2 linked regions of the Caenorhabditis elegans genome follow. The protein of the gene in region 2 interacts with the protein of the main gene of each other region in a pairwise test. Each region holds a gene or a part of one and is shown on either strand. Other genes may lie near its edges.

Evidence for each region.
Region 1: the proteins of memb-1 (region 2) and vps-52 interact in a two-hybrid assay, tested with the Caenorhabditis elegans proteins (one study listed by BioGRID).

What each region holds. Positions count from the first base shown.
Region 1 is NC_003284.9:7,563,428-7,568,911, forward strand, and holds vps-52 (Vacuolar protein sorting-associated protein 52 homolog), read left to right. Parts: upstream 1-1,895; 5' UTR 1,896-1,903; coding exon 1,904-2,060; intron 2,061-2,102; coding exon 2,103-2,221; intron 2,222-2,283; coding exon 2,284-2,379; intron 2,380-2,421; coding exon 2,422-2,652; intron 2,653-2,706; coding exon 2,707-2,940; intron 2,941-2,990; coding exon 2,991-3,197; intron 3,198-3,247; coding exon 3,248-3,373; intron 3,374-3,482; coding exon 3,483-3,764; intron 3,765-3,812; coding exon 3,813-4,203; intron 4,204-4,250; coding exon 4,251-4,369; intron 4,370-4,421; coding exon 4,422-4,568; 3' UTR 4,569-4,718; downstream 4,719-5,484. Other genes in the region: sto-1 (Stomatin-1), read left to right, coding at 11-163, 215-289, 336-599, 673-791, 840-1,026; Apyrase apy-1, read right to left, coding at 4,841-4,954, 5,036-5,484. UniProt on the Caenorhabditis elegans protein: Acts as a component of the GARP complex that is involved in retrograde transport from early and late endosomes to the trans-Golgi network (TGN). The GARP complex facilitates tethering as well as SNARE complex assembly at the Golgi.
Region 2 is NC_003284.9:9,439,424-9,443,533, reverse strand, and holds memb-1 (Golgi SNAP receptor complex member 2 homolog memb-1), read left to right. Parts: upstream 1-1,962; 5' UTR 1,963-1,969; coding exon 1,970-2,097; intron 2,098-2,144; coding exon 2,145-2,214; intron 2,215-2,266; coding exon 2,267-2,394; intron 2,395-2,679; coding exon 2,680-2,761; intron 2,762-2,858; coding exon 2,859-2,963; intron 2,964-3,007; coding exon 3,008-3,136; 3' UTR 3,137-3,455; downstream 3,456-4,110. UniProt on the Caenorhabditis elegans protein: Involved in transport of proteins from the cis/medial-Golgi to the trans-Golgi network.

The DNA of each region.
Region 1 (5,484 bases), 1.9 Mb from region 2:
TTTTCTTCAGATTGTTCAGGAATACCAACGTGCTGTAGTTTTCCGTTTGGGACGTCTTGTTCCTGACGTCAAAGGTCCCGGAATCTTCTTCATCATACCTTGTATTGATACTTTCTTGAATATCGATCTGCGTGTGGCATCGTACAATGTCCCTTCACAAGAGGTATGTTGCGCAACACACCTGCTCACTGTGATATAATCTTTCTCTCTTCAGATTCTGTCTCGCGATTCGGTTACCGTTTCTGTTGACGCAGTTGTCTACTTCAAGGTGTTTGACCCAATCACTTCGGTAAACTAAACAGCTGGTACGGTTCAATCTAATTTGGAATTTTTAGGTCGTCGGAGTTGGCAATGCGACCGACTCTACCAAACTTTTGGCTCAAACCACCCTCCGTACAATTCTCGGTACCCATACCCTTTCAGAAATTCTATCCGACCGTGAGAAAATCTCCGCCGACATGAAAATCTCGCTCGATGAAGCTACAGAGCCATGGGGAATCAAGGTTGAACGTGTCGAGCTTCGCGATGTCCGTCTTCCATCTCAAATGCAACGTGCTATGGCTGCTGAAGCCGAGGCTACTCGTGATGCTGGAGCAAAGGTGAGCCGACATGATGAGCATAGCAAAATGCGGGGGACCAATAATTATTAATTTCGATTGCAATTAATTTCAGATTATCGCTGCCGAAGGAGAATTAAGAGCATCTGCCGCTCTTGCTGAAGCCGCCACCATCATTTCAAAAAGCGAGGGAGCCATGCAGCTTCGATATCTGCACACACTCAATGCTATCAGGTAATGGAAGCGCACTATCAACTTTTAACTAACAAAATAAAATTTCAGTTCCGAGAAAACCAGCACAATCATCTTCCCGTTCCCAATGGAGATTCTCGGAGGAATCAGCAAGGTTGGTTCAGGAGGCACATCTCAGAACTTTCCAGTTCAAGAAATGATGAATGCCGCCCTTCAATCCATTCAACGTCAGGATACAGTTCCAGCCACCGCATCTTCCTCAGGAAGCCGACTCTGATTCCAAGCAACGCAAAATGAGCTACAGTTTCGTCAAAAAACAAAACAAGGATCAACTCGAAGCATATTGATAATCTCTTTCCTGTTTGAAGTATTTTTTTTTAACTATTAAACTGTATTATTCAACTGTATAACACTTAATATTTATACTCGATTTCCACCTCATTCACTTCCAAATTGCACATATCGGTTGTCAAGGCATATCTTTGAGAGGTTGTCTGAAAGACTTCCGATTTTGCTCCAAATTTTTTCAGTCATTTTTCTCATCATAATAATAATATATATATGATTCTCCACGTTCCATTGTATTTTTCAAGTGTATTTTTCCAAGAAAATGAAGGAAGCCATATAGTTTAGAAATTTGTCTAATTTTTTGTAAAACGGGAAATATTTGAATCGAAGGATTCAAAAAGTTTTGAGAAATTTTTTATTTCGAGCCTAATGCGCTGAAAACTAGGTTTTCACCAATTATTATGAAAGTCTTTGATCAGAAAAATTCATATTTTCACTTATTTTTTCACTAAACAAAAATCCAAATTTCAATATTGTTGGGGTTTGAAGATTTAATAGTGTTTTAGATTTCTCGTAGCGAATTGTCAAAAATATACCAAATAGATAAATTAAATTCTCTATAAAAATTCAAAAATCCACACATTCTCATTTTTCCAATTGTTCTGCATAACCTCCTTGGCGAGCATTTTCCTCGCCTTCCTCGCACACAAGCACACCATTATTCTAAACACCGCGCGGGGTGTAAAAAGCGGAGCATCGTTTAACGACGTGTTACCAATTGTTTTTTCTTTGGTTTATCGCTATTTTTTATTTATTAACGTTAGTTATTCATCAAAATTTTTATTGAAACAATTTCAGCACAAATAATGCCTCGAACACGTGTCAACTTGCAAAAATCCGAGGCAAATGACCGTAGTTTCACAATATCGTCGCTAGAATTTTGTTTATCGCAATTGCGAAAAGCAGATCCGAATTTGGTGAAAAAAGCAATTGCTTCTGGTGACGGACTAACCGAGTCGAAAAGTATGTCTCTAAATGTCAACATTTGAAAAATCAATAATTCAGACGACGTCAGCACGCGGCTATCGGAGGCACATCGTTATTCTGTTCAACAGTGTCTTGATAACTCTGAGCAGTTGGCTCAACTCCATAATCAACTTGTGCATTGTGATAATGTTTTTGAAGTAAGTATATTGTAAAAATTGCCAATATATAAATCAGTCGACTATTTAATTAAACTTTTTAGCGCTTGCAAGCAACATTGTACAGTTTTCAAGACAATCTAGGATCAATTGGGCAGGATATGAAAAATTTGCAGCTACAGTCGCATCATATTCATCAAGTAAATTAATTTTCCAATTTCAACGTACTATAATCTTCTCAGGAACTGGAAAACCGGCAAAAAGTTAGAGTCGAGCTGAGCCAATTTGTAGACGATATTGCTGTTTCTCAAACGATGATGAAAACTATCAACGACACTGATGCAAATGACAGGGGTTTTTTGGAAGCGCTCCACGAGTTACACCACAAAATAACCTTAATTTTGCAAAGGGGAAATGGAGATGCGGTAGCGGTAAACGACACTATGCCGATTTTGGAAGGACTAAAGCTTAAGGTTGGGTGTTTTTTTTTTTACAAAAGTTTACATTTCAAAAATGTTTTTTTTCAGGCGGTTGTAAAAGTGAGGGAATGGTTGCTTCAGAAAATGTTCCAATTCCGTAAACCTCTGTCCAACTACCAAGTTTTTCAACACCAGCTTCTCAAATGCCGATTTTTCTACGAATTCCTGTTGCACCATGACTTGATCTCTGCCAAGGAACTTCAAGACGAGTACATTGACACCATCAGCAAGATGTTCTTCACGTATTTCAAAGCATACGCCACACGCCTGTTCAAACTTGCGGTAGGTTGAGACACATTTTTCAAGTATATTCACCAGAGTAATTATTTAAGATGAAAGACGTGGCCACCAAAGAAGACGCTTTGGGAAGTATTGATTTTGCAAAACCCGCTGGATTAGGCGCAATTTTCTCGTCGAAACAACACGTTGTTCGGAATAAGGCAACCGTTTTTTCGATTGGGCAACGACATCAAATTCTCTCTGACGACTTTTTAGGAGCCTTGATTGTTCCCCACGCAGCTACGCAGAACCATCAATCGGTATACCTTACAATAGAACTGGTAGGGACCAAATTAAATTATATTTTCAGTATCAATTTGAAGCACTATTTCGTTCTATTCAACTGGCATTTGTCGATCACTACAGCCATGAGTACCTCTTTATTACCGACTTTTTCCTTGTCAGCAATGATGAAGCCATTGAACTGCATAACAAGGTATGTTACGAGGACCTGGAAAGACCTAATATCTATTACGTAGTAATGTTACATTTACAATAGTTGTTTGCCTTTTCACTACCGGAAAAAAGCTTATAATTGCTTTCAGGCTATGGCTCGAGCAATGTCAGTTGTGCTCAAAAGCTGCGAGGAGCAAATCGCCCTTAGTTGGGACGCCATCAGTCTTCATCTGTGCATTTGTCTATGTGACAAGTTTACCGAAGTGCTCGCCGAGAGAGAGGTACCAGAAGTTAGCGATTATTGGAATACTGTCACAAGCTTCCTTTGGACCCGCCTCAATTTGGTCATGTCTCAACACTACGAAAGTGTCAAATCTGTTGATTTGAAGAAGTTGATGCATAGCGGTTCACTTGATGCAAGACCGCATTTCGTAAGTTTTTGATTGTTTTTTATAATCAAAAAAATTCAGATGTTACAGATAGTCCGACGGTACGCCGAACTGACAAGTGCACATTTGATGATAGCAAAAGCAAGTGGAAAGGAAATGGGTGCAAAGATGGAAGCTGTCTTGGAGAACAGTGAAGACTCTATTGAACAACTATTGACTCGAATGTCAGCTATGCAGCAAACTCAGAAAAATAAGCACGTCTTTCTGATTAACAATTACGATCTTATTCTTTCGATTATCGATAACGAGGAAAGCAAGCATACAAAGATTTATGCAATTGTCCATGAGCTTGAACAAAAAAGTATTGATGATTTTGTTGAAGAGATGCTAGAGCCACATATTGGGTACATGATTAAATTTGTCAACGAGTGTGAATCTCTGATTGTTCAAGGTCATACACAACTCTTAGTTCGATATAATGGCAAGTTGTCATATATAATTTTCTATTCTCTAATATTTTAATTTCAGACAAAGTTGGAACGGTGGTAGCAAACTTCAATGCAAAGTGGAGACCTGCAGTGGACAGTATTAATTCAGAATGCATACAACTTTTCACTAACTTCAGCCTGGGAACCACCATTTTACAGGTTAAAATTTATTTCCTAGAGCCGAATTTCAGTTTTAACTAGATGATTTCAGACAATCTTCACAAAGTACGTTCAGTATATCAATAGATTCACAAAGATTCTGTCCCATGACGTATTTGCTAAAAATCCCGTGTGTTCCCAGTTAGTCAACGTTCATCAAGTGATGCTCGAAATCAAACGGTTCAAACCAGCATATTAAGAAAAATATTGCCAATGTTATTTTATTTTCCCGTGTAGACTTTGTAAATTAAATAATTTATTGATTCCCACTTACTTGAGTATTTTTTTATATATATTTTTACCCACTGGCAGCTTTATGCATGCAAAAAATGTTGAATAAAATGTTTATATATTTATTTTATTTAAATAACCATTACATAGTATTTGACAAAAATCACATAATATCGAGAACACAGATTTGGACCTGACTGGAAGGTGGGAATTGAGACAAAAATACATTAATTGAAGTGATTAGGCAAATGCAATTCCTTCGTATTTGTATGGACCATGAAGAAGATATTCGTCAAGAATAACATTACCATGAATGTCGAAAACACTTGCATAACTTGCTACTGGTTTTCCATCCTGGAATACAATTTTATAAACCGAGCATTGAGATTAACGGATTTTGTTTTTAAAATTGTGTAGATAAAACCTGTTACTTACCTTTTCCTCCGACTTGATGGCAACGATGAGCTGGTGATGAGTGTTTGGCACAAATTGGAAAGCAGCAAACCCTCTGGATTTGTTATTCTCCGATCCTACTCGCACAACCTCAAAATCAGTCAACTCTTCATTTCCAATCACAAGAACGTTTGTTCCGCGGTTCTCGTCCTCCGCCTCAGAATACTTCTCATTTGACATTCTACGTGGAAGGAAGAACCATTTTCTGTGAATTGCAGACCATTGAACAGCTTCGTGAATCATGTATCCGGGATATTCGATCCCAGCAGCTCTACGAACGCGGATATATACATCCTTCCAGTTTTCGTGATGAACGGCTCCGTGAGCAGAGACATGCTTCACCCACATTGGGTGATCGTTCACATAAACTCCGTCAGTGGTCGTCCATTCTTTTCCCAATCCTCCAACAATCAATTCGGTATCCTTAACAG
Region 2 (4,110 bases):
CGACGTAGTTTTCAAATATCATGGATGATAGACATAATTTGGTGAATTGTGACCAGTTATTTTCTTATACGTAATTTGCACCTGAATCAGCAGAAAAAGATTTTTTAAACATTTGAAAAATGCAAAATATTATAGGTACGTAGTGTTTAAAAAAATTAACTTCTGTCTGCTGCGTCTTGAACAACTTTTTCGAAATTGAAAATATTTCTGCATATAAAAAGTATTTTATTTAACCATTGAAATGTCACTAAAAAAATTCCGATATAAAAATTTTGATACTCAACTTTTAAAATTAATTGTGCATTATTTTTGAAATTTAATTGACTAAATCAAGTTATCATCGAATGAAAAATAGTTAGTATGTTCAAAATTGATTGCCTAAAAATAATATGGAGCAGTTGACACACAAATTAAACAAAACTTACAAACTTCTGACAGTTTCCATTAATAGAAACTTTCGGGTCCAATAATATTTCGTTTGAAACAAATAGCAATAAAATGTGTTAAACACTTGCCGACATTACATACATCTTCAGAAATATTCTCTTTGCATCATTAGAAATTCAAGTGGTGAGAAATTGGAATTGGATGGGCCCACCACAAAGCAAATTGGTTGCCACAAAAAGAGCAAATCATCAAAAAAGAGAAATACATCAAAAAAGACAACAAAAACGAAAATAACTGCCATTTCAAAAGCCGTATCAGTGGCTGAGAAGAGCAGACAGCACACAGCTGTTTGTGGGCTCACCGGCTCAATGAAAATCTCATTTCAAATGATCACAGAGGAAAATGCTCAATTTGTTTGTTTTTATGGTTTTATTTAAAGAAAAAACAAGAAATCCATAATATATTTTTAATGAAAGTGTAGAACGTTTGAACAAAAAATCCTTCCAAAATTGTTTTTTTTAACTGAACTCTAAAAAATACACGAAACAAAAAGTTTATTTGTTGTCCGTGTTCTACTTTTTTTCATTGTTATCTACCAAAACAGTGGAAAACAAAAACAAAACTGACACTTTCCCTAAAGACGAAGACGGAGAAAAAAAAAAGAATTGTGAGTTTTCTCTTCTTTTTTGACCATTAAAATAAATGAGAATTTGAAATTGAGTTTGAAAGGGAAAAGGACGGAGTGACTTGACTTTTTGGAAGAAACGCCAAAAAAATATGCAAGAATGCAAGTACAAAATAGGTGGCACATAATAGGATTATTCATAGCATTCGCACTGGAAACTAGAAGTCATAACATCAGAGAAAAGTCGGAGGTTTCAAAGTGAAACTAATCGCGTTTTCTTATAATATTTGCAAAAGTGCTTCTCTTATTGCAAACTTTTCCTATTTACTGTTTGGAGAAAAGCAATGCTAAGCAAATAAGTTAAGTTTGTACTCAAAATAGATATGTTGTTCTAATACTAGCGCACCTATTTGAGGCACAAGAAGTATTTCAAAATATTGAATAAGTAAATACAAGAAAAAAGCGATAATTTCTCAGTATCGATAATAAACGCACATTCAAAGTTTTGGACACTAGACTACATATGATTTCGGTATTTTTTTTTTCTCGGTCAGATAAAAAACAACAGTCTTTCTTAGTTCTTAAGCAGGATTTTCATTGAACCTATGCGTGGAATAATTTGGAAGAAAAAAAACTGTTTGAACCCCTGTTTCAGCTTACAGAATGTCAAGCAAAGTTTGCAATTTACCATTCTTTTTCGTTTTTTTTTTCTTTCCTTCCACTTTTGACACTATTTCTCCATCTATACACATGCCTCCTTCCTTTCGTCGTTACTCCCCTTTCTTTCATTGCCGTTCTATGTTGACGTCACACTGTGCACTTGTGCGTCGTTGTGTTTGCGTACGACGACTCACCCCTCGATTTACGCGGGGACACATCTGTACTTTACTTATTCTTGGATTCAGATATTTTTTTTTTGAATTTCACATTTGTAATTGAAAGTTTTTCAGTTTATCCATGGAGGCTCTTTACCAAAGCACCAATTTTCTTCTACAGAAGGTTCAACATGACCTTGGACGACTAGAAGGCACTCAAAACGAACAAGATGCGCAAGTTGTTGTACAGTGCATATATGGTGATGTCATGTGAGCTGACTTAAAATATTTTTTTGAATATTAAAATAATTTTTTAGAACCCTGAAGGAAAACTGCCAGACATTAGATAATTACGTTTCTCGAGAACCTCCAGCGAGGCGGCAAGCGGTGAGAAAATTTGGAAGAAATAAGACAAAAAATCAATAATTCAAAAATTCAGGCCCGAATGAGAGTTGATCAGTTACGCGCCGACGTCCACAGAGTTGATATGGCCGTTTCGGCAGTACACACGAGAATGACACAAAGATGGAGAGCTGCTACTGAACGAGATGAGCTTCTTAGGACGCGGTAAGTATTTTTTTTCTCAAATTATCAAACGAAACAAAGACGATTAAATTGCTGCAAGAAAATATGGACGGTATAAAAACGCTGGTGTATACAAGTTTGTTAAAATTATTTGCAAATTTATACATTTGATCAAAGGATTTTGCTGTAACGAAGTTTTGTCAATCCTGCGAAAGAAAACAAAATAGTTCTCTCACTTCTGATTTGTGTAACAGATTTAGTAGATTGAATGTAAATTAAAGTTGATCAAAAATTTGAAACATTGAATGTATGTAACTAGAAATTCAGATATCGGCCAAACGATACAGCGCTTTCAATTGGAGACCACGAGCTTCTTCTCAATGATCGCCTGCAATCTTCCCACACTCATGTGAGTTTTCAGATAACGTTTATGGTACTTACCACTTAAAATTAAATTTTTGTCTTCCGTTAATTGAAAAAAATGAATTTAAAAGCAATAATTGCAGCTTGACGATCTGATAAGTCAAGGATCTGCTGTACTCGAAAACTTGAAATCCCAGCATTTAAATTTACGCGGCGTTGGGAGAAAAATGCATGAAATTGGCCAAGCTGTAAGTTACATTTCTAATTTCAACTTTTAAAAACATATTTTGAGTTGGGTCTCTCTAACTCGACACTTCAAGTCATCGATCGGCGTGTTCGTGAGGATTGGATCCTATTTGTGATTGGATGCATTGTCTGCTGCATCTTCATGTACGCATTTTACCGATTCTGGCGTGGATGAGGAAGAATCAGTTGAATGCGAAACTATCAACCATCTCGTCATACATACCAAAAATGCCACGTATTTTGTGATTTCAATAGCATATCTATTGCTGGCCAGCGACAACTTTTTTTTGTCATTATTTATTTTGTTTCATTTCCTGCATATCTTTATTTATTTATTTGTTCATATACAAATTTCCTGCCATTTTCTGTTGACTCTATATTCCTTTCAGTTTGGAATAATATATGATGATTTTTGTATGGGAAATGGGAAGTTTTGTTAATTTTTCAAAAAGCCTTTTGAATGTAAAAATCTGTCTCATTAAACTTGTCATAGCAAAACAACAAGACAAAATTCAGAGCAGAAAAGTAGATTTTAACAGAAAAAAGGGGTTTTTTCAAAGTTTGAAAACTAAATTCCAAAAGCTTCTATAACCGCAAAGAAAAAGTGCATTTTCAGTCAAACATTTTGAAGTACATTTTGAAATTGATTTGAACTGACAATTCATATGCAAAGTTAGTGGATTTTCAAAACTTTAAAAATTAATATTCCGCTTTAAATTAACTGTTTTGAAAATACCCATAGCGATTTTGTTGCAAATTTTGTGTTCATTCAGATTTTTAAACACATCCTACTGGAATATTGTTGGTACATTCTAAAAGAGCTTAAAATTTACTACAAAGTTTCTGAAAGACATTTCAAAAAAAGTTACTTTGAAGAGATTTATGAATTTTCAAAGTTTGGAAAATCCATCTGTTTTTGTCTATAAATGGTAGTTTTCATTGAATAATGAAATACGCACTAAAAGATAGGGCTGAAAATGTACTATTTCTGTAACTACGTGAAGCTTCTTGTACCTACTGAAATATTGTTAGTAAATTCTAAAAGAGCTTAAAATTTACTACAAAGTTTCTGAAAGACATTTCAAAAAAAGTTACTTTGAACAGATTTATGAATTTTTAAAGTTACGAAAATTCATCTATTTTTGACTA